Caenorhabditis elegans: one gene and its partners. The protein of the gene in region 2 purifies or fractionates together with the protein of the main gene of each other region. This does not show direct contact. Each region holds a gene or a part of one and is shown on either strand. Other genes may lie near its edges. The genes, in order: ttr-17, spp-14 and Y38A10A.7.

Region 1 (8,331 bases), on a different chromosome or scaffold from region 2:
TAGTCTTGGTAGTCTAGGTAGTTTCGGTAGTCTTGGTAGTCTAGGTAGTCTAGGTAGTCTAGGTAGTCTAGGTAGTCTAGGTAGTCTTGGTAGTCTAGGTAGTCTAGGTAGTCTTGGTAGTTTAGGTAGTCTAGGTAGTCTAGGTAGTCTAGGTAGTCTAGGTAGTCTAGGTAGTCTAGGTAGTCTAGGTAGTCTAGGTAGTCTAGGTAGTCTAGGTAGTCTTGGTAGTCTTGGTAGTCTTGGTAGTCTTGGTAGTCCAGGTAGTCTAGGTAGTCTTGGTAGTCTAGGTAGTCTAGGTAGTCTAGGTAGTCTAGGTAGTCTAGGTAGTCTTGGTAGTCTAGGTAGTCTAGGTAGTCTAGGTAGTTTAGGTAGTTTAGGTAGTCTAGGTAGTCTATAGTCTAAGTAGTCTAGGTAGTCTAGGTAGTCTAGGTAGTTTTGATAGTCTAGGTAGTCTAGGTAGTCTAGGTAGTCTAGGTAGTCTAGGTAGTCTAGGTAGTCTAGGTAGTCTAGGTAGTCTTGGTAGTCTAGGTAGTCTTGGTAGTCTAGGTAGTCTAGGTAGTCTTGGTAGTCTAGGTAGTCTTGGTAGTCTAGGTAGTCTAGGTAGTCTATAGTCTAGGTAATGCTCCGCCACGCTGACTACGCAATTGAGTGATAAGCTCGGGGATCTGAAAAATAATTGATTTCTAATGGAAGTTTTTTGAATTAACTGACGTCTACAGTGTTATTACGAAACATGAGTTCAATAATATAGTCAACCGCAATAAAGCTCATCGATCGATTGATCCCTTCGGCAGAATGAATTAAACATTTTCCTTTGGTCACCTTATCTGATGGCTGAAGTGAATAAATTCCTCTCAGAATTACTTTTGGACTTGGTGCCACGTGTCCTTTCGGCCAATGTGGATAATGGAGAATTGTTATGAAACGAGCATTGCCTGATTCCTTCCCGTTGGTGGGGTCATTTTCCAACAATGAACGAAGAATTGACCGTGGTTATAGAATTTTCCTAAAATATATATGATTGTTAGAGAAAAATTTTTGGTCTTGAGACATGCAACAAACAAAAATTTTCAACTATCGTACCATCAGATGTCTCGCAATTATTTCTAGTTTTTCATTTGTTTCAAAATAATTGTTTACTTACTTAGATAAGTAAGTAAACATTAAAATGTCTGAAAGCACGAAAAAATGAAATAAAATTTTCTGAAGTTATGAAATAATAAAGAAATTATATGATTACGGTAGCTAGCAAATTCTATTCAGACCAAGACTTTTTTCTGACTGCAACTTTTTAATTAGTGAAACCTACCATGTTCAGTCGGAAAATACATGGGAAGTTGCTCATCCGGGGAGAAAATTGCAAAAATCACATCAATTTCCTGATAGAAAACCATTTTCCAAAAATATTCGTAATATTCTTTCATTGGATGTTGAGCAACAATCCATTTGCGTTCACAAGGTGGACATGAAGTAATTGAAGCATTGATGTAATTTTTTTCATCTTCTGCTTCTGTTTTAAGCCGTACACGTGTAACATCGTACAATGGAAAATCAGGATTTCTGTTTTTTTCTCGATTCGCCTGTAATACAATTATTGTGATTCATCAAAGACATTACTAGTCTTATTAGTCTCTTATAGGCATTACGAAAAATGTCGGCTACTTTGTTAAAACCGACGCGTTCCTATCATAGCCTAGTTGGAAGCTATGGTAGATGAAGGTACAGTGACGCCTACACAATAGATTGATGAGAACTCGTAATGTATGTTACCTGAAATGCATAGGTCTTATGCTCCTCCGGTGGTGTCCTCTCGAAAGATGACGACTTGAAAAAACCAACAAGTCCACCAGGTTTAGCTTGTGTCTCCGTCATCCATCCGATTGTTTTTTTGATTCCACCTTTGGCTTTTTCAAATGTTGCATCTTTGGTGCACAAGTTTTTCGAATTTTTTGAGTCTTTTGATTCGTTACTTTTACTCTTTGATTTTTCCTTGCTACCATCTTCAGCTGGATTCATTGTCGAATTCTTTCTGACAGTGTTTTTCTTTTTTCTGCAAGTAAACTCATTTTTAAAGTTACTTTAAACTATTCCACAAAAACGCATTCGCAAAATGTGAACCAAAAACTTACTTATCATTACGTTCTTTACTACCTAAAGCCAGAGACATTCTGTCGCACAACTCGAGTGAAAATTGAAAATAATCGAAATTCGATCGACGTTCTTGACACTCTGTTTAAAAAACTGAAACGTGAATTCAATTAGCATAATATCCTGAATGGAAATTATCTTTTCGCCCTCCACGCGAAATGAAATTTAATGATAACCATAATGCTGATGTGCTCGTTTCCAAATAGAATTGAATTCATAAAATTAAAATAAATAAAAACAATATAAAAAAAAATTAATCTTCCAAACAAGTAAAGCATTCAATCAATATAGTTTCGGGAAAAATGGAGCTTCATCCTTGAAGAAAGGTAGCAAAAAAACTTTAAAAACCGGTAGACCAGAAGTTGTAGATTTCTCTGAGACGTTCCATGGAAATTACCAATTGCAGTCGACAATGAAACATATTTTCTACAATTTATAAAATTTTTCGTCTATTAATATACTTGAATCATAAGTATACTGTGTAATTCGAAGAAAATATATTTGCTTTGATCGGTTTTAAGGTAATTTCCACACTGGCGCTACTCCACTTCACAAGCTTTGAAAATATATCCTAAATTTCTCAAAAGTTAGTTTTTGCTTAATTTGGCAACTTGCCAAAACTTGGACTAATGATTAAAATCTGAAACTCTTTAAAGTGTTCTGATTAGACATTTTATTTTTCAAATAACTGTTTTGTGTTATTTGACAAAATCCCAACTGGGTACTTCACCAGGTCTTTTTCATCAGAAACCAATACAACTATTTTCTACACTTTGAGATTTAAGTGCATCCCACTGAGCCGTGTAGTCCCCACATCTTATCACAGCTCTTCCTGTCAATCAGTGTCAATCAGATGTATCTTCTCAACTAATCATGTGACACACGTATCTCTCTTCAACATTGAAATGTTTATAAACACATGAGAAAACTTAAATTGACAGTTGTTCCATTTCCATTGGACATCTTTAAAGTGGTGTTACACTTCTTAACGTCATACAAGTTTTTAAGAGACACAGACAAATACCACGCAATAAAAATTGAGCTGTGTCGGAATCTGATTAAAATGAGAAGTTGAATAGATCACACACAAGAAGTACGAAATGATCAAAGTTCGAAACAAGTTAGCAAAGTTATATGAAGGTTTTGATTTGTATATTAAAACACCTGAACTTGAAACAAACCTGAAAGAAACCGGCAGTCCTCAGTTGTTGAAGGAATATCTTCAACATGTTCACATCTCCACAATTAAAAATAATATTTAAGGAAAGAAGCTTAAAAAATGAACCGTTTTCCAAAACTTTCCAGTTTTGAGCCAAATAGTAAGTCAATCAAATTTTAAAAAAAAACCAAAATTTTTTTGATAAGATTTTCTTTGTTGAGTACGATATACACTTTGCTTGCATTGAGAGAATAACCAAGTTTCCTTGGACAGTCATAGTTTATTCAAAAGTTTACATTTGAACATAATTAAAAATTTGAAAGATGTTTACAATTTATTTGAAAAAAGACTAAAAATATTTTTCAAGTTTTGTCACCTCTTTCAGATAATTTTTTAGAAGTATACTTATGTATACATTACACACTTCTAAAGCTATGTCATTTTCAATAAACCTCCTAGAGTAAAAAGTTTGTTTTCGGTATAAATAAAAGAAGCCAACTGACAAAAAATTATACGTACACAATGCGTAGTTCAATCTTTGTGGTAAGTAGGGACATGCAGAGAAGACTAGGGATGACGGTTTTTTTTTTCGAGTTTTCATTCTGCGTTACGAATTCTCAAGATCATGAAAAAATACTAGTGTCCAGTTATTTCAACTATCAAGAAATCATGACATTAATTGAAAAATTGCTGAAACACACATAACACTGAAAAAGTACGATATGCTGGATACCGAACTTCCGGTTCAGTCCGGTTTGCGAGACTAGACATATTAACTCTCCGAAACGTGCATCTCAAAAAGTTCTACTTCATCTATTTTTAACCTTATCATCATCAGAAACCAATCCAATAGAGCAGGGAGTTCAAAAATCTCACAAGTCCCATTCTTGATTGAAACGACTCATTTTGCTCTCTGATCTATTTTTATTTACGTTGATGATGGTCCATCTTTTTCTTCTTTTTCTTGAAAACTATTGCTCTTCGATTCTTTCTTTTTCCCCACATCACTTCAATTTAAATCCACCACCTACGTTTCTGTCACCTGTTGGAAATAGATGGATGTGTTGAAGAAGAGTATCAAGCAATTTTATATTTATAAAAACAAAACGATCACTTCCGTTGCAAAACTCCGCCCATCTATTATAAAAGTACACACTTGACGCTCAAAACTTTCAGTTCTTTTTTCTTGCAATAACAACAAAAAATCGTCAAACTTTCAGCCATGTCTCGCCTTGCTATCCTTGTTCTTTTGTCACTCGCTGTATTTGAAGTATCCGCCAAACTTCAAAATGTAACTGTAAAAGGAATTGCCGTTTGTAACAAGAGAAGAATGGCTAATTCCCATGTTATTCTGATTGATAAGGATACCTGTAAGTGTGACAAGGAAAAATATTAATATTATTCCATAAGTTTCAGTGGACCCAAATGACGAATTGGCTCAAATTCATACCAACAAGGAAGGAGAATTCGAGTTGTTCGGAGAGGAAGATGAGATTGGCAAAATTGAGCCATACATTCGTATTCATCACAGTTGCAATACCAAACCAGTAAGTATTTCTAATTTAATCTAATCTTATGAGTGAAACTGTAGGAATAAATTAGAAAATCTGGCTGGTAATAAGGAAAATGGCAATTTGAAAAAGTTTGATATTTTCTTGAATTATTATACATTATTATAAATTATCATGAATAATACATTGATGAGAAGCAGATTATAAAGGTGCATATATAGATACAAATTAACCTTGTGAATTGAAAATATCTAGTACAATATGACACTTAAATAACCCTCCCAAGTAGGCAAATATCTCTTCCTGACTGAAAGCCAATTTACGCTCTCCTGATGATAAATTGAAACTTTTGGTAAATTTATTGCAAATCAGAAATACGCAAATCTACACAGTGCAAATACTGAGCGTGGTTTGAAATGCAAAATATAGGCGGTAGGTATTTAGGCACGTAAACATGCACACCTACTTAGCAATAGCTACTTCGAATATAAATTTGAAAAACTTAATTGAAGAAATTTAAAAAATGTTATGTTTCCAGGGATGTGAACGCGTTTCCGAATATCAAATTCCACAAGAAAAAATCGGAGAGGTCTATGACATGACTTATGTTACCCTTGATATTATTGTTCATGGAGAGAAGACCATCTGCAACTAATTATGATTTTTTTGTTTCAACTCATATAATTGTATGTACATAAATTCGTATTTTACCCTAAAACGTTTTGAACTATTTCTGGTTTTTGTTTTTAATTGATTCGGAGTACAACCCCCTGCCAACTGACGAAAGAGAAACTTCGGGATTCCGGAATGATTGGGCAGTGGAGTGGAGTGGAAAAAATATGTTCAGGAAGGTTGAAAAATACGTCGAGAGAAGGTTACGTAAGAAGTCAAAAGAAAGAAACAATTGAAGAGTGACAAATAGAACGAGGACAAAAAAATAATTTTCTTGTCGAAAAGAAGTATAACTTTTAAATTTGGTCTATTTTGATACCTTCCACAGAAAGAGTAAATTCAGAAAATAAATATATATAATAAAAGTTAAAAATTTCCAGAATCGTTTTGTGTGACATCGGCAACTACCGCAGCTTTCCAGATTTCAAGTTTTTCTGAAGATTCTAGTTACGCAGATCTGACATTTTAAAATTGTTGTTCTTTCAGCATTGGAATAAAAAATGCTCAACTTATAAAAGGTAAACCTATACAGTTAGAAAATGATATAGTGCTGGCTGCACACCAAGCTGTAACACGATCGTGTATATGTTCTTCTGGATATCTGACTTGTTTTTCGTTGATGTTTCAATTTTTGTGAATCATCGTTCTTTGTTACTCGAAGTCCGGGAAATCTGGGCATTGCAGTAGAAAGTGGAAAAAATACTATATTAAAAAACATAGGTCAGTACTTAATTGAACCCCTCGAGAAATAAAACAAAATTCATTAAAAATAAGTTTGAACTGTTTATGAATTTATATATAATTTAAAACCTCATTTTAATGTTCAGAAAGCTGAATTAGAACTTCGAAACTATGAAATCATGAAACAGTGCTAAACGAAGAAACCCTCCAGTTTTTGTTGTGATGTTTAAAATTTTATATATTGTCTGACGCATTCACATTTCAAACATAAAATTCTGAGATTCAATTAGAGGGATCAATCACCAACTGGCAATAACATCAGAGACTGATCTCAAACTTTAGTGTTCGAAGGATTATCAGAAACTCAAATTGCTCTTTGTGAACATTGATTTCAATATCGATTATGTTTTTGAAAATTGTTTTGCATGCATCTAATCTTGTAAACATATCAATAATCAAGTGTACAAAATGATCATTACAGCTTTGTTTGTTTGTTTGAAAGACTGGAAGCGGATATCACTACATCCCACGTAACATCACAAAAACTATTAGCCTGAAAACGAAAAAAAATTCCAGTTGAAATATAGAAATCAATCCAATCTGAATGTATTGTCAATAATAAATATTGTGAATCAAACGGAAACGTAATATAAAAGGTACAGCGTGAGCCTGTAATATGACAGCTGAAACTGTACCGATTTTCGATAAGGTATTTCGCAGACGCACGCCTCCCCTCCTATAGCCCGGAAAACGCCTCCGATAAATATGATTTTAGATAAAATTAGAAAAAAAATTAGGGTTAACATGTAGGCGCCAAACGCATGCCTGACATTAAGGCGACGGGCCTCCCTCACGCCTCAACTCGCGCTTTCTGCCAAAATGCAGAAAACCCTGATACCACACCCTTCTCCCATGGAACTCCTATGTGGATCTGATTATCAGAAAAGAAAACTTCCGTATGTGCACAAGATATTCTGAATCCAATTCCTCCCCCGTATAAAAAATGAGTCATAATTATATTTTGAAATCTTGATTTTGTTTTTCAAGCTTGCCAACCCATTATCTAATCCCTGATTACTTGTTGTTGTTTCTGATTCAAGTTCTCATGTTGTCTCATGGCTGGCTGTTGGACACGCCAATTGGCTCTCGTTTCTTTGATTCTATTGGTTGATTGAAGGGGGGACAACACCTGACGTTAATCTCCAAATCTCAATATAAATAGTGAGCCCCAACACGACGCCAGTCACCTCAACAACTTATTGTTGAAAATGCGCTCGCTCGTCGTGTGTCTCTTGCTCGCCGCTTGTGCTCTTGAATGCACAGCCCGTCTTCAGAATGTTACTGTTAAGGGAGTTGCCGTGTGCAATAAGAAGAGATTGGCAAATGTTGAAGTTCAACTCTATGAGAAGGACACCCGTAAGTTCATTGATAGAACTTTTCTATAAATGTATTTGTATTTTTCAGTTGACCCAGATGATCTTTTGGACACCAAGAAAACTGATGCTGAAGGAGAATTCAGCGTTTACGGAGAAGAAGATGAGACTCATGCTATTGCCCCATACCTTTTGATTACCCATAGCTGCAACCCATCTAAGCCAGTAAGTCAAAATAAATAATGGAATATATTTATTAAAATAATTCCAGAACTGTGTCCGCATCGGAAGGTACTTGGTGCCAGAGGACAAGATCGGAGGAACCTACGACATGACCTACGTCACCCTCGACATCAAGGTTCACGGAGAGAAGGAAAAATGCCAGTAAAAAGTGCAAACTTCCTGGATTTTATTGACTATCTAAATATATATTTTTTCTATATGATTTTTCTCAATTTTCCATTAATAAAAACATGAAATAAATGTTTAGTTTTTTCAACGAGGACCTGAAGAGACTAGGGATCAAAGGAAATTACAAAAACGATGCAAATATTGTACCCGTTGGAAATCGAGGAGTTGAACTGGCAAAATTATACAAATTGTCACAGGAACTGAGAGGGAGAGTGAGAGAACTATAGAACATTTGGGTGGGATATAATAGGGTGCCAAATGCAATCTATAAAACATGTAGAACGATATGAAAATAGAGGAAAAAAGAGAAAGCGAAAAAATTTGAAGAGACCAGAGATGTTTGAGCAGTGGTAAATCACAATTATAGCACAGAGAA
Region 2 (7,492 bases):
GATCTCGTTGAGCTGGTTGACGGAGATGTCGAGTCCAGCGTTTCCGATGCTCTTGAGTGCCAAAATCTTCTCGTAGGTGGTCTCAGCATCCTTGTATTGTTGCATGAATACGCGGAGGAACTTCTCCTTGAGCTCACGCTTGTCCTCGCGGACGAGTGGACGGATATTCTTGTAGTCAACAATTCCGCGGACAACTGATCCGGCGGCGAGCCAAGCAGATTGTCGGACAACCTGGTTGTTCTTGGAAACGCGAGACTCGGCGAACTTGATGAGTGCTTCAGCAATGGTTTGAGATGGGAATGGAGTCTCTTGGATGGACTTAAGAAGTTGAGCGGCCTCGAGTGGAACGATGTCCTCGTTCTCGATGTGAACAAGAATGTGTTGAATGGTGTTCTTGGTTCCAGCAATAGCGAGAGCGTGCTCCATCAAAGATTGGATCTGAATATTGCAAGGTAAATTATAAAATGAACTAAAAATGTATACCTTCTTGTCAGCCTTGACGTAAAGAGTCTCGTGGATCTCTTTAAGTTGGGAGGTGGAGGTGGTGCGGAAAATGCGGACAAGACGCGCAAGGAAGTGGGAGGTCTCTGGGATGTTGTTCTCGACTTCTTGTATTTGCTCAGTGATAGTCTTGATCAAGTGCATCTTCTTGTCAAGTGGGAACTTCTCGAATGGGGCGAACTCAGCCTTATCTCCATTCTTGAAGAAGTCTTCAACGAGTTGCTCCCAACGGGAAGAGTAGATGATGCTTTCCTTCTCTCCATTGACCTGAAAGAATATTTGTCTTAGAACATACTGTAAAAGTTATGGATTAACGTACCTTCTCTATGTGACTTTTGATGGAGTGGTTCTCCTCAAGAACAAGCTTTGAGCGGGTTTCAGTCTTCATGACTTCTTGTCCGTTAACGTTGACAGTGTAAAGGGAGCGGACCTCGGATTCTTTAAGCTCTTCGTTTTCCAAAATGTAGGTGTAGACAGTTTGTGGGCGGATGAGCACGGTGTCCTTCTCGCATTCTGGGCACTCGGAAGAGTAACGAAGTCCGTAAGCGATCTCGGAACGTTCGGTGCACTTGTCAAAGTTGATGGACTTGGTGATGATGGTCTTCTTCTGCTCACGGATGACAGTGTAGGCGACTTGGCAGTCTCCTTCAAGGGTCTTCTCGTTGGTGAAGAAAGAAGTGTTTTCCTCAGATTGTTCCTCCTTGTCATAAGAAGATTCGATTTTCTCAATCTCGTTTCTTGGAGCAATTGGGTTGAATGAGATCATGTTGACAACAGCTCTCTTCATGTTCTTTGACCATTCAGCATCTTCCTTGTCGAATTGGAGCTCGGCGATGAGTCCATTTCTGAGTTGAGCACGGAGTGGGAGTTTGAGCATTTGCTTGTACTCCTCGGAGAGTTCGCGCTGCTCCATGGAGTTCAAGGATGGAATCTGCTCGGACTCTGGGAGGTGGGAAGCGGCCATGTGAATATTCACAAGTTGAAGGTGAATGTGACGGTCATCGACAGCTTGAATACGGACACGAGCAGAAAAACGAGATTGGGAGAGCTCAGAGGAAGCAGTTGGAAGGCCGGAAAGAACAAGTCCGTCGAACTTGTAATGATAGTCGATTTTCGGCTCAAATGTGCGCTCGAAAGCTGGGGAGAAAGCAATGGCCAAAGCCACTATAGATGCGATAATAATCGACCTCATGATTGGACAATGAATTTCCTCTTCACAGGTAACCTTATATACAACCTTCGATTGGCATTTTCTGAATTGAAATGAAGGGTTTGCAACATTTAGCGCACTGATAAGGCTTTAATTTGGCACATTGACAGTTGCTCAATAATTTTTCACTTTATTATCGCTGAATCTCAGAAATAGCTTCTATCAAATGTGAATTTTTTGTATTTCTACGTGTTTCATCAAACTTTGATTGACCATGCACAAATTGTCTTTATGCAATTGATAGTAGTGTTATGACAAGTGTTATGACAATTGCGGAGAAATTTTGTTTTGTGGAGGACAAGTATTTCAAGTGTAATGCTAACAACTAATAGCCAATTTTTTCAAAGTACTTTTTTAAAAACTTTTTTGTAGTGATGAAGTTGAAAACTTTGAAGTTTCAGCCATTTAATTTATTTCAAGGTTATATATTTAAGTCGCAAAATTGTTTTACAAGACGGTTGCTATTTATAATTGTTGATTCAATTTTTCAGTCGAGCATAAAGGCTAGTGCACTTTGTTTTAACATATCAAAGAATTGTATATTTCAGGTGACAATTTTATCTCTCAAATGACATGCAGGAAACAGCAAGTTTTACATTCGAATATCCACAAGAGTACCTTATGTGATAAAGTTTTGTTTTTTTGTTGTTGTATTTCTTTCTCTAAGTTATTCACTAAATGTGAAGTGCAACGAGAACAATTTGAGGTTTGTAAACAAAAAAAAAACAAAAAAAAAACCGAAATTGTAAACATAGTTTTTTAAACAGAAACGGTTACTAGAGATTTTGTGGAATATAATAACTGTATTTTTTTTATAGTTGGTGTGACATGTGTGACTTTAGCCATTAACAGATCTTATTTCCTTAATTGTGTTTTTTCATAGAACACATTACAAAATGACTGAATATGTGAAAACGAAGTGTCACATCATTTACCAAACCAAAAATCAAGAATGATTTTGGAATAGGTATTCAAGCCTGCTTACCAACAGGACAACCTCTGCCTGTTTCAAAAGATAAATGCATTCACTGACAAAGTTTTGTCGAGATTTATTAAAATCGTTTGATTCAAATTTTCAACCAAAGAACGTGAAAAAATTCAAACGTTTACTGAAAAAAAACATTGATCATCGGAGTTTACTTCATCTTTCAGATTTAAATGTTTAGGTAAAATTTTATTTTAAACGCGGTTTATTAATTTTTGACATATGTAGGCTTGAATTGTTACAATTCAAGCTACACTTGCGTAGAAAATAACCTGATAACCTTATACGAAAAAAGTTTATTTCAGCTTTCAATTTGGAGCTAACAAGAAGTTGTCACGTTAGAGCCGAATCGACACTTTTTGGTAGTCAACGTCTATAGCTTTGATTGCCACTGTAGTTAACTTTGCTCTTCCTCTCACGAAAAGTCAGTTTTGTTCAGAGTTAGTGAGATTTATCAGTTTCAGGCGCGCTGATATTTGACAATTTGAAGTTCATATCTGAATAAACAATTTCAAAGGTCATTCACACTTTATCAGAAGAAAAAGAAACATAAAGAATTAGCACTCCTTGAGCTTTTTGCAGACATCTTCTGGAGCAGTTCCTCCCTCGAGCTCGTTGATGATGGGGTCAAGCTTGGAGTTTCCGTACTTCTCACATTCCTTCTCGGCAAATGGAATGATTCCAAGTTCCTTCTTGCATTCGGCGTCAAATTTCTAAAATCATATTCACTATAATGACCAAACGAACAGTTTGACTACTTACGTCCTCAACGGTGTGAGCTTCTCTGTCAGCTGGGTTTTCAGCAGCACGGACTCCGACCTCGCACATGAGGCAGCTCATGGCATTGTCCTGTTGGCTTGGGAGAGCCAAAGCGGTAGCGACGGCGACAAGGGCCAGAAGGCAGAAGGTGGTCTTCATTCTAAAAAGAAAATAATATAAAAACGACATTCTAACCTTATCAAGAAATCAGCAGTCTGCAAGTTTGTCATGAATGAAATGAATGAAAATTCCGAAAGATAAGGGAAGAGTTAAAGTGCTGTTATCATAACGATTGTCTCGTTCATTTTATACAGACTTTCAACAAGGAAATTTTAAGTGCTCAGCCCGACGAAAACTTGAATCGCATGACACTGTCCCGCCCACTTTTATAACCCACTGATAACCCGATAATCCGGAATCTTTGAGTTCTTTACTCTGTCTGATTATAAAACTCTATTTGAGATAAAACTGTTTACATCATATTTCAATAACATATTCTTATATTCCTTGATACTTTTAAATTTGTTTGCTCTTTATTAGTGATTTTTTTTTTTTGAAATTTGATTTCAATAAAATCTGAGAAAGAAAATATTGAAACAAAGAATGTGGTCAAATGGGGTTGACAAACAATAAAACGAATTATGACAAAATGTTCAGAGAAATTGTGGAAATTCAAAGAAATGTACCCGATATCCAACGGGAATATAGTACAGTAACAAAGGAAACGATTTTTGATGATTTTTGGTGTGGGGTGACATGAAAAAAGGGAGGAGGAGTAGAAAAACGTAAGAAGAAATTATCAGTTATACATAAAAATGCGGGAGGCAATTATTACGCGCTTACTTACAAGGGTCGAAAATCAAAGAAAGTGGCGAGGAAATTGTTCCATAAACAGTAGAATTCAGTCCGTTTTCAGCAATTTGCAAATCAAGACCGAAATTATAGAGAAAAATAAAAAATGAATTTCAACAATTATAGTGGGATGATGTGTTTGTTTGGCGGTTAACTGTTTAAGTGTTTGGCGAGAAGAAGTGCATTGTCACGGAGTTGATTTGGTTCATGTGTTAATTGGGGGAATAGTTCATCGGGATCAGTAGGGTTCCTGTAAAATGTATCTTTGTCAAAAGTTAAGAATGCAAACTCTGTGAACAGTGAAACTTATCAATTTCATCCTAAAATTATATGGGCTTTGAAACCGTTTTCTGAACTAATTTTATTAGGCTTACATGATCAGGTTACATGATATACAATTTCGGTTTAATCGTGTTCCTTATTTCTATTTAAAGGGTAATGCAATACTAATAGAGGAAATACGGTGAATCATAACATTTTTGTAAATTAATAGTAAAATATCTCGGTTTTTTTTTCATAATTCGATGCAGATAGTTATGATATCGCTTTCAATTGTTTCAATTTTTTTGATGATTTCTATATTTCAGAGTTGCAATCATTCCGTTTGAAAATTTTGAATTTGTAAACATTTCTAGTTACTTTTGAATTAAGACCTACCAAAAATGTAAAACAAATATTCACACAATGCTGGTAGCAAAGTCATTTTGGTTAAGTGCTCCAGTGGGTGGACGAGAAAAGCTTGATACAGTGTCATCTGTTCCGTTCACGGAACGAAGTATTGTATTTCCAGTCGTCACTGTTGTAGATTTGATCGGTGCTTTTTGAAGTGTCCTGTCAGCATATTGACTTTCTTTGGAAGCAACTCCGTAAAGATTTGACGATGTGGAAGATGCTCCATTGATTCGGGAATAGATCGGATTGGATCCTTGTGGAGATCCAGGTGTTGGAGTGTAGTTACTTCCGTGACTTGTTAGTGTTGAAGTCGGGGTAAAGCATTGCTCATCGTTTTGAGATGAATTTGTTGTGCTGGTTAGCGATGACTGCAATGGATGTGGATGTTAGAATGAGATGTGTGCCGAAAATGTGAATGAATAAATAACTCATCGTGCAAAAAATTGAAATAATGAGAGAAAAGCTCGAATACAACAACTCAAATAGATAAAATAACCTTATTGTGTCCGTTTGTAGCTCCTGGAGGGTTCCATAGCAATTGACCTGGTTGCCCAGGTGCCGCTCGTTGAGCACCTCCCCATTGAACATTATTTCCTGATCCAATACCACTTGTTCCATATATTCCACTACCCTTGTTCTCGGAGAACGAAGAAAGTTTGATCGCAGACCGTTGATAAGGAGACTGTTCCCTGAATTTTTCAAAAATTATATCGAAATGTTGAACATAAAGTTTGCCAAGATACCTGCTGACAAGAGGTTGTGGCGGAGGCACGTTTATCCCAGAGCGGTCTGATAAAAGTGGAGACTGGCGGATTGAGCTTAATGATGGTTGTTGAGAATGTTGTGTAGGTGTGACTTCACGTCTCTGAAGTGTGTTTTGTTGTAGCCCTCCGTAACCGTTTACACGAATTTGACTTCCTTGTGGGGTTACTTGGATTCGAGACTGGAATTCAGAATATTCTATTTTTACAGAAATTTGTATCTTATATTTAGTAGCTGTACCCTAAAATGTTCGCTTCGTATGAAGTTCAGTAATGGTCAACAGGCAAATGAATGATACAATTGTTTTTTAGGCTTCAGGCTTATGTTTAGGGTCACGTTATATTTTGTGAGATACTTACAAACTTTTTGAGGTACAGTTATTACGCATGTACCGTGATATCATCAGTTTTTGTTATTATGAAACATCGACTCAATGTAATGTTTGACTATTAAGTCGATCATCAGCCAATGTTTTTGCTAACTTAAATCATACGATTGCAAAAGTGCACCACATATTTCACAACAACTCCTGTTTTATTCTACCCACCACATTTGGAATTCTTGCGTAACTTCCGTATGTGCTATCAACTCTTCCGTATGCGGCCTCTCCACTATCTCGCCGTTGGCCCAGCATGTGTTGCTGCTGCTCGTCTTTTTTTTGAATCGCCGAGTACTGATTCCAGACGTTGTCGTGAATCATGGCGCCACGCTGAAGAGTTCCGCCACTTTGCCCGCGTTGTAGTGTGCCCATTTGGCTGTATTGCTGTTGGTTGCGTTGTATGGTTCCAAACTGGCTAGGACCTGGTGGTGAGCTGTTTCCACGTTGCAAAATTTGGGAGTTGGTCATTTGAGCTTGAGTTATGTTACGACCACCATTCTGAAACAAATAATGTTGGGAAATGTTAGGTTACGAAATTGGATAGTTGTGAAACAAAGACTCACTGAGTGATAACTCATCGTTTGTTGCGTGTCATCTGTGCCCATTCTCAACAATCTAGACATTTCAGGACTATTCTTAACGCCGTCAACTTCGGTGAGAATTTTCGCCCGAGTTGCAGGACTTTGTTGACCTTGCCTCCAGTACACATCATCGGGTGGACTTATCATTTCAAACTTTCCACTGTGAATTGCTCGAAGAAGCGATTGTTTTGCTGTTTGGTCATCGGTCACAAACATCTTTAAAAAAATAATGCTTGTTTCACTTTTAAGAACTAATATGTACTTACAGTATCACGATGAACAACAAGAATAGAGTTTTTCAGTTGAGATGGATTTTCATTTCCACGAATTGGTCCAATTGCCATTCCTTTCTGAAAATAATTCTGCTTGACACTATCAATTTATTGTTCAAACTTACATTCAATCCATAGAACTGATGAACTTTATGCGTAACATTAAAATCCCAATCTCTTTTTAAGGTCATTCCAAGCCACATCAGAATCCATGAAAACATGTAGACGACGTCAATTATGATGCAAGTCAGTATTAATGCTTTTTGTTCATGCTGATAAAGAATCAACAGAGCGTAGATGGTAGGACCAATCGCTCCAGCAACAATGACTAAAAGTGCAATGGCATCCATATGTGGCAAATAACCATCACAGCACAACTTGTTTCCATCGACTCTTGTGTAGGAGCGTCGTCGATAATCACCATATTCAGCCTGGCCTTGGGATGTTCTGGCGGCGTTTCTATGTTGTACATTAAGCACGTTTGCCTGTAATAAACATATTATCAAAGAAAATATCATA
Region 3 (8,451 bases), on a different chromosome or scaffold from region 2:
CATTGTCGTAGCAGACGAGCTCAGTTCAACATCATCAGTTTCAGTTTTGCTCTTGTTCGGTTTCATTTCTAGTCTTTCTTCTCTGAAATTCTCGAATTTTATTCTTTGGTATATTCTCATTCAATTTATCTCTTCTTTTTCCGATTCATATGTTTAATTGTTATATTTACTTTTTAATTTCAGATTCAACTTGGTGTCGTTTTATCGAAAAACGAAATGAAATCACTCTGCCTGTTAGCAATCGTTGCCGTCGTTTCGGCTGAAGTCTACTTCAAAGAGGAGTTCAACGACGCCTCATGGGAGAAGCGATGGGTTCAATCCAAGCACAAGGATGACTTTGGAGCCTTCAAGCTCTCAGCTGGAAAGTTCTTCGATGTTGAGTCCCGCGACCAAGGAATCCAGACCAGCCAAGATGCCAAGTTCTACTCCCGTGCCGCCAAGTTCGACAAGGACTTCTCCAACAAAGGAAAGACTCTTGTGATCCAATACACCGTCAAGCACGAGCAAGGAATCGACTGTGGAGGTGGATACGTTAAGGTTAGTATTTTAAATTTCTTGATGTGATAATTTTTTCGCATTAGTTTGTTAGTATCAAAACATGTTTCTCAATTAAAACAATATTTATTTTCCAGGTCATGAGAGCTGATGCTGACTTGGGAGATTTCCACGGAGAGACCCCATACAACGTCATGTTCGGCCCAGACATCTGCGGACCAACTCGCCGTGTCCACGTTATCCTTAACTACAAGGGAGAGAACAAGCTCATCAAGAAGGAAATCACCTGCAAGAGCGACGAACTCACTCATCTCTACACTCTCATCCTCAACTCCGACAATACCTACGAAGTCAAGATCGACGGAGAAAGCGCCCAAACTGGAAGCCTCGAGGAGGACTGGGATCTTCTTCCAGCCAAGAAGATCAAGGATCCAGATGCAAAGAAGCCAGAGGACTGGGATGAGCGTGAGTACATCGATGATGCCGAGGATGCCAAGCCAGAAGATTGGGAGAAGCCAGAGCACATCCCAGATCCAGATGCCAAGAAGCCAGAAGACTGGGATGACGAGATGGACGGAGAATGGGAGCCACCAATGATCGACAACCCAGAATACAAGGGTGAGTGGAAGCCAAAGCAGATCAAGAACCCAGCCTACAAGGGCAAGTGGATCCATCCAGAGATTGAGAACCCAGAGTACACTCCTGATGATGAACTCTACTCTTATGAAAGCTGGGGAGCCATCGGATTCGATTTGTGGCAGGTAAGAAACTTTTATTCTATTTTTCAAAAATGAAACTCAAACTTTATTTTTTCAGGTCAAGTCAGGAACGATCTTTGACAACATTATCATCACCGACTCTGTTGAGGAGGCCGAGGCCCATGCTGCCGAGACTTTTGACAAATTGAAGACTGTTGAGAAGGAAAAGAAGGAGAAGGCCGACGAAGAAACCCGCAAGGCTGAGGAGGAGGCTCGCAAGAAGGCCGAGGAGGAGAAGGAGGCCAAGAAGGATGATGATGAGGAGGAGAAGGAAGAGGAGGAAGGACACGATGAGCTCTAAGCAAATCGTGCACAGCTTTTCAACTCGCTTCATACAATCGCCCCCACTCCATCACAATTCCCCCGCATTCAAGTCTCTCCTATTCTCTCGGGTTAATTGATTGTTTTATTAATTTATTGAGCATCCATTTTGATGCTGGATAGCCTTTCTTGTTTTATAATAAAAAAATTTTAAAACCTATTTACGAGTTCGATTAGTTCAATGAATATAAAATACAGGATCAGATACATAGAAAAGCGATAAAAACCGGCACAAAATAGGAAATTGATATGTGATTCAATTAAAGTGATTGACGCAACTTCAGCCATTCTACAAGCCAATTGGGAAGCGTTTCCTCGCATTCGAGCATAAAAGAACACAGCTGCTCGATAATATTCGACATTGGTCCGCCAAATAAATGATGCTCATCGATGAGGACAGTAGCTCTTCCACCACATCCATCGCGACCAACTCGTCCGATTCTATGCATGTAGCTCGGAAAATCGGTGGACATTTCCATGATTATTGTCTGAAATATGTGACTTAAGATAAAAAATATTTGGGTCAATAGTAGCCATGTTTTTATCAATTTAATATATATGTAAACTTACCTGTTTCACAGAAGACACATCGATTCCTCTCGACATAATATTGGTACATACAACTCCATGAATGTTGCAAAACTCCAAATCATTCAAAGTGATTGCTTGTTGTTGTTTCAACACACTACTGCATACAGGTTTGAAATTATATCCCATCTGACGAAGTGCCATAGTTACCTGAAAATGTTCTCAATATTTTTAAAATCGAAAGAATAGGGGTAAAACCTGAATAACTCTTGAGACAGTTTCACAGAAAATTGCAATAGTATGCTTCCATGGGCCTTCTTTTGTGCTTCCCATTTCCTTGAGATCATCATCTAACAATTTACAAATAATATTCATCTTAACGATCCAAGGATTCGAATGGATATCATTTACTCGCTGTCCACCAATTCGAATAACTCGTTGAGTGATATATCCAGGCAATCTCGGACAATGGATCAGTGACCATGGATTTTCACCTAACATTCTTGATTGACGTGAAGTTAATGCAATTGAACCATCTTCGTTTCTGTTGTGAGACGCAGAAAAGAAACAAGATTGAAGATTTCTGAGCACATCCTCTTGTAGTTGGTCTAAAACCCAATCAATGTCATTTCCGAAGCATGCAATGTCAATCATTTTATCAGATTCATCCAAAATCATCATTTTCAAATTGTCAAGAAGAATTGTTTTATCCTCGATCGATGCTTTCAGCTTTCCCATCGTACAGAACGCAATATCGCATTGATCTATAAAGAATTCGTTTTTTTTTGGTTAGACGAATGCTGTAACGAACCTTTTGTGAACTGATAGCTAGCAACTAGTTTTTCAATTTTAATATCTCGAATAGGTATAATATCTTCCATATCTATCAAACCAAGAAGAACTTCACAACGATTAAAAAGTTGTTCAACGAGTGAGTTGGTATTTGCAAGAATAAGAATAGTTGGTGATGGCGTGGTTGAAATATTGGTAAGCAATGGTCGCTCCCTCAATGCAATTTCAATCGCCGGAATAAGAAACGCATAAGTCTTCCCGATTCCAGTTGGAGCATCCACTAGAAGTCCTCGGCGGTCACGAATAGCTTGAATTGATTTTTGTTGAACTGCATTCAGAATATGAACTTTTATTCGTTGCAAATTGGCGGCAAGTCGGTGATCTTCTATTGCATGTGCAACCATCCTCTCTGTTCCATAATCAGCTGGAGTTTCTACTCCGTCTTGATCCACCATTATCGTGTTCTCCTCACAGTGTTTATTCAATTTGTCAGTTTCAGCTTTTGAAGATGTGACTGCGCCCAACTGCTGATGACGATCTCTCATTGCTGAAGAAAAGTTATTGAAATATTTAATTGCCCAGAACATGGTTTACCAAAATAATAATCTCTAGTTTTAATAGATCTGAAGTTGAGTACATTTGCATACTTTGGAGGAACTAAATCAATGTGCTCAACTTGTACCCGACTATCGTCTAATGCATCGGCAGTGTTCCAAGGATGAGGCATCTACAAAGATTATTACAAAAATGTTTATATTTTGGTTTGAAAATAAATATTTGAACGAAAAGTAACGGTTTTTACGACACAATATTATAAAAGTAGAAATATAAAAAACGTTTGTTTACCCAAAAAAAAATACATGTAACAATTAAGCCAGAATGAAGATGATAACAAATTAGAAAATCATAGAATCAGAATTTAATATTCTTATGTGCTCGGTGTCTCTTTCGACAGGATCGCATAATCCAGACCAGAATCATCGGATGGGCACGTCACGTCGCTGTTGTATCCATGTTTGTGAAAGAAGCCGAGCGACGGTCCATTATACAGAAAAACTGTTGCCATGACTTTACTCATGTTTGTCCTGAAAATAAGAGTTTTTGTTTATTGGCTCTCGAATTAATTGAAACTGTACTTTGAAGAGAGCTTTTCCAGCGTGTCGAGCATCATGCCACCGATTCCTTTGTTCTGATAAGCCGGTACAATTTGAAGTTCCCAACAATATGCCACAGGAATGTTGTGATCGACCACAAATCGATAAGTGGTATAGCCAATTTTATCCCCTTTCGAATTCTTCGCGATGATGAACCTTGATGTTGTTGCACGAAGTTCGTTTCGCTTGGAATTTTCATCGTATCCCCACTGGGATTTGTGATACATATCGTACATGTTCTCTTTGAATAAACTGAACACCCACTCGAAGTCTTCATCACTCAAATGTGTCGCCCACATGTAATCGAATTTGATAGTTTCGCTGAAAATAATAAAGATTAATTTGAAAATCATTCAAAGATCCTACCCATCAGTTGTAGTACTTCTTTGTGTCTCGCATTCGAATTTCTCAACTGGTTTTATGTGCTGACAAGCTTTTTTGACCAATTTTTTCGAGTCTACGGGCATTTTTGGGCCGATATCTGAAAAATTGTTTTACAATTATTGAGAAATAAAACATGATCGATTATACTGGTGACAAATTGATCAATAAAACCGTAAAGAATACTGAAAAGAAAGGATAGAATCATTTGAAAAAAATGCATATAACTTGAATGTCGTATATTGTGGTGAAAAGTGTGCAAACACCATCACGTCAAGTCACGGATTTGCTTTAAATTAACATTTATATGTAAAAATTAGTCTTTATTGATAAAAATATCGTTAAAATGTACAATTTTGTTGATAATCGGAAACAAATTTACATTTCGTATGTTTTAAGTTGTAATATGTCTCCTAGCTAATATTTTCAGGGTCATTCTTCGCTGTATCATCTGAAATTGAATGCTAGTTAGATATTTTCAATTTTTATTATTAGAAATAAAACAGCTATCCAGCATAAAAAACGATGTTTAATAGAAATATACAAAAAGTGTTACGACAGCACGTTCTTAACCATGCGAAAAGTTCAGAAGTCTGAGACCCGAAGAACTCGGGGGATGTCCAATTGGGGGGATTACCAACTCGGGGGATTGGCCCCGCCCACAGAACCGTGGCTTGCAATACGCCCATTTCTGCAACTGCCGCACGGTTTTAAAACTGTATTTTTCTCAATAGAGCGAGAAATAACAAGAAAAAATAATTTTAAAACCGTGCGGCAGTTATGAAAAACCGTGCGGCAGAAATGGGCGTATTGCAAGCCACGGTTCTGTGGGCGGGGCCAATCCCCCGAGTTGGTAATCCCCCCAATTGGACATCCCCCGAGTTCTTCGGGTCTCAAAAAATGGACGAAAATTAAAATTGCTGTCATACTTCAAACTGAAATTCGTTTCGAGAGTCAAGCCCGTAAATCGCCACAAGTTCTACAGTAGCCATTTAAATAATTATTGTAGTTTTCGCTACAAGACATTTTGCGCGTCAAATAGGTTGCGCAATACGTATTCTCAGAATTTAGTGTTCTCGCAATAAGGCGAAGTTAGGAGGCTTCAAAGATTTGGAAAAAGGGAATGTTCCGCCAGAATCTAACACTTTACCAACTTTACAGTCTCGCAGCGACCTGAACTCCACTTTCATAAATATAAATAATTACCCTCTATATTTGGTAGTTTATTTGTTGATTTAGGTTTAATTTCGTTCGATGGATGCATAAATGTAACAAATTTGTGCAATCATGAACTGAAAAAAGCATCGAAACCTACGCGGAAAAACCAGGCCATATTAACAAACGATCAACTGTGCACGTAGTGTCAGAATGTCCCATCTCGGTTTGATCTTCGAAAATTGCGGGAATTTAGACGCAGTCTTCTAAATTGATTTCGCATAGTGAAGAGTGTGCTAACGTCAACAGAGGATCTCCTGCTTATAAATGGTAGTTTTTTTGAATAATAAAATACGCACTAAAAGGTGGGGCTGAAAATGTACTATTTCTGTAACTACGTGAAGCTTCTTGTACCTACTGAAATATTGTTAATATATTCTAAAAGAGCTTAAAATTTACTACAAAGTTTCTGAAAGTCATTTCAAAAAAAATTACTTTGAAGAGATTTATGAATTTTCAAAGTTTGGAAAATCCATCTATTTTTGCCTATTAATGGTAGTTTTCATTAACTAATAAAATACGCACTAAAAGGTAGGGCTGAAAATGTACTATTTCTGTAACTACGTGAAGCTTCTTGTACCTACTGAAATATTGTTAATATATTCTGAAAGAGCTTAAAATTTACTACAAAGTTTCTTAAAGTCATTTCAAAAAAAATTACTTTGAAGAGATTTATGAATTTTCAAAGTTTGAAAAATCCACCTATTTTTGCCTATTGATGGTAGTTTTCATTAAATAATAAAATACGCACTAAAAGGTAGGGCTGAAAATGTACTATTTCTGTAACTACGTGAAGCTTCTTGTACCTACTGAAATATTGTTAATATATTCTGAAAGAGCTTAAAATTTACTACAAAGTTTCTGAAAGACATTTCAAAAAAAATTACTTTGAAGAGATTTATGAATTTTCAAAGTTTGAAAAATCCACCTATTTTTGCCTATTGATGGTAGTTTTCATTAAATAATAAAATACGCACTAAAAGGTGGGGCTGAAAATGTACTATTTCTGTAACTAAGTGAAGCTTCTTGTACCTACTGAAATATTGTTAATATATTCTGAAAGAGCTTAAAATTTACTACAAAGTTTCTGAAAGACATTTCAAAAAAAATTACTTTGAAGAGATTTATGAATTTTCAAAGTTTGGAAAATCCACCTATTTTGCTTATAAATGGTAGTTTTCATTAACTAATAAAATACGCACTAAAAGGTAGGGCTGAAAATGTACTATTTTTGTAACTACGTGAAGCTTCTTGTACCTACTGGAATATTGTTAATATATTCTGAAAGAGCTTAAAATTTACTACAAAGTTTCTGAAAGACATTTCAAAAAAAATTACTTTGAAGAGATTTATGAATTTTCAAAGTTTGAAAAATCCACCTATTTTTGCCTATTGATGGTAGTTTTCATTAAATAATAAAATACGCACTAAAAGGTAGGGCTGAAAATGTACTATTTCTGTAACTACGTGAAGCTTCTTGTACCTACTGAAATATTGTTAATATATTCTGAAAAAGCTTAAAATTTACTACAAAGTTTTTGAAAGACATTTCAAAAAAAATTACTTTGAAGAGATTTATGAATTTTGCAAAGTTTGGAAAATCCATCTATTTTTGCCTATTAATGGTAGTTTTCATTAACTAATAAAATACGCACTAAAAGGTAGGGCTGAAAATGTACTATTTCTGTAACTACGTGAAGCTTCTTGTACCTACTGAAATATTGTTAATATATTCTGAAAGAGCTTAAAATTTACTACAAAGTTTCTGAAAGACATTTCAAAAAAAATTACTTTGAAGAGATTTATGAATTTTCAAAGTTTGGAAAATCCACCTATTTTGCTTATAAATGGTAGTTTTTTTGAATAATAAAATACGCACTAAAAGGTGGGGCTGAAAATGTACTATTTCTGTAACTACGTGAAGCTTCTTGTACCTACTGAAATATTGTTAATATATTCTAAAAGAGCTTAAAATTTACTACAAAGTTTCTGAAAGACATTTCAAATAAAATTACTTTGAAGAGATTTATGAATTTTCAAAGTTTGAAAAATCCACCTATTTTTGCCTATTGATGGTAGTTTTTTTGAATAATAAAATACGCACTAAAAGGTAGGGCTGAAAATGTACTATTTCTGTAACTACGTGAAGCTTCTTGTACCTACTGAAATATTGTTAATATATTCTGAAAGAGCTTAAAATTTACTACAAAGTTTCTGAAAGACATTTCAAAAAAAATTACTTTGAAGAGATTTATGAATTTTCAAAGTTTGGAAAATCCATCTATTTTTGCCTATTAATGGTAGTTTTCATTAACTAATAAAATACGCACTAAAAGGTAGGGCTGAAAATGTACTATTTCTGTAACTACGTGAAGCTTCTTGTACCTACTGAAATATTGTTAATATATTCTGAAAGAGCTTAAAATTTACTACAAAGTTTCTGAAAGACATTTCAAAAAAAATTACTTTGAAGAGATTTATGAATTTTCAAAGTTTGGAAAATCCACCTATTTTTGCCTATTTATGGTAGTTTTCATTAAATAATAAAATACGCACTAAAAGGTGGGGCTGAAAATGTACTATTTCTGTAACTAAGTGAAGCTTCTTGTACCTACTGAAATATTGTTAATATATTCTGAAAGAGCTTAAAATTTACTACAAAGTTTCTGAAAGACATTTCAAATAAAATTACTTTGAAGAGATTTATGAATTTTCAAAGTTTGAAAAATCCACCTATTTTTGCCTATTGATGGTAGTTTTCATTAAATAATAAAATACGCACTAAAAGGTAGGGCTGAAAATGTACT

Evidence for each region.
Region 1: the proteins of spp-14 (region 2) and ttr-17 fractionate together in Caenorhabditis elegans (co-fractionation; one large-scale study listed by BioGRID). This does not show direct contact.
Region 3: the proteins of spp-14 (region 2) and Y38A10A.7 fractionate together in Caenorhabditis elegans (co-fractionation; one large-scale study listed by BioGRID). This does not show direct contact.

Annotation. Positions count from the first base shown.
Region 1 is NC_003282.8:11,063,223-11,071,553, reverse strand, and holds ttr-17 (Transthyretin-like family protein), read left to right. Parts: upstream 1-4,527; 5' UTR 4,528-4,529; coding exon 4,530-4,677; intron 4,678-4,723; coding exon 4,724-4,854; intron 4,855-5,356; coding exon 5,357-5,473; 3' UTR 5,474-5,535; downstream 5,536-8,331. Other genes in the region: ttr-16 (Transthyretin-like protein 16), read left to right, coding at 7,440-7,587, 7,636-7,769, 7,816-7,932.
Region 2 is NC_003284.9:7,722,102-7,729,593, reverse strand, and holds spp-14 (Saposin B-type domain-containing protein), read right to left. Parts: upstream 3,616-7,492; 5' UTR 3,615-3,615; coding exon 3,459-3,614; intron 3,410-3,458; coding exon 3,254-3,409; 3' UTR 3,211-3,253; downstream 1-3,210. Other genes in the region: vit-1 (Vitellogenin-1), read right to left, coding at 1-438, 484-768, 821-1,693; K09F5.6 (Protein tincar), read right to left, coding at 4,985-5,347, 5,476-5,668, 5,723-5,922, 6,289-6,618, 6,684-6,917, 6,968-7,051, 7,099-7,458.
Region 3 is NC_003283.11:6,092,275-6,100,725, reverse strand, and holds Y38A10A.7 (N-alpha-acetyltransferase 40), read right to left. Parts: upstream 4,530-8,451; 5' UTR 4,516-4,529; coding exon 4,415-4,515; intron 4,370-4,414; coding exon 4,031-4,369; intron 3,980-4,030; coding exon 3,823-3,979; 3' UTR 3,633-3,822; downstream 1-3,632. Other genes in the region: crt-1 (Calreticulin), read left to right, coding at 217-537, 633-1,256, 1,312-1,554; smut-1 (Synthetic MUTator), read right to left, coding at 1,835-2,062, 2,145-2,312, 2,361-2,866, 2,914-3,441, 3,489-3,621.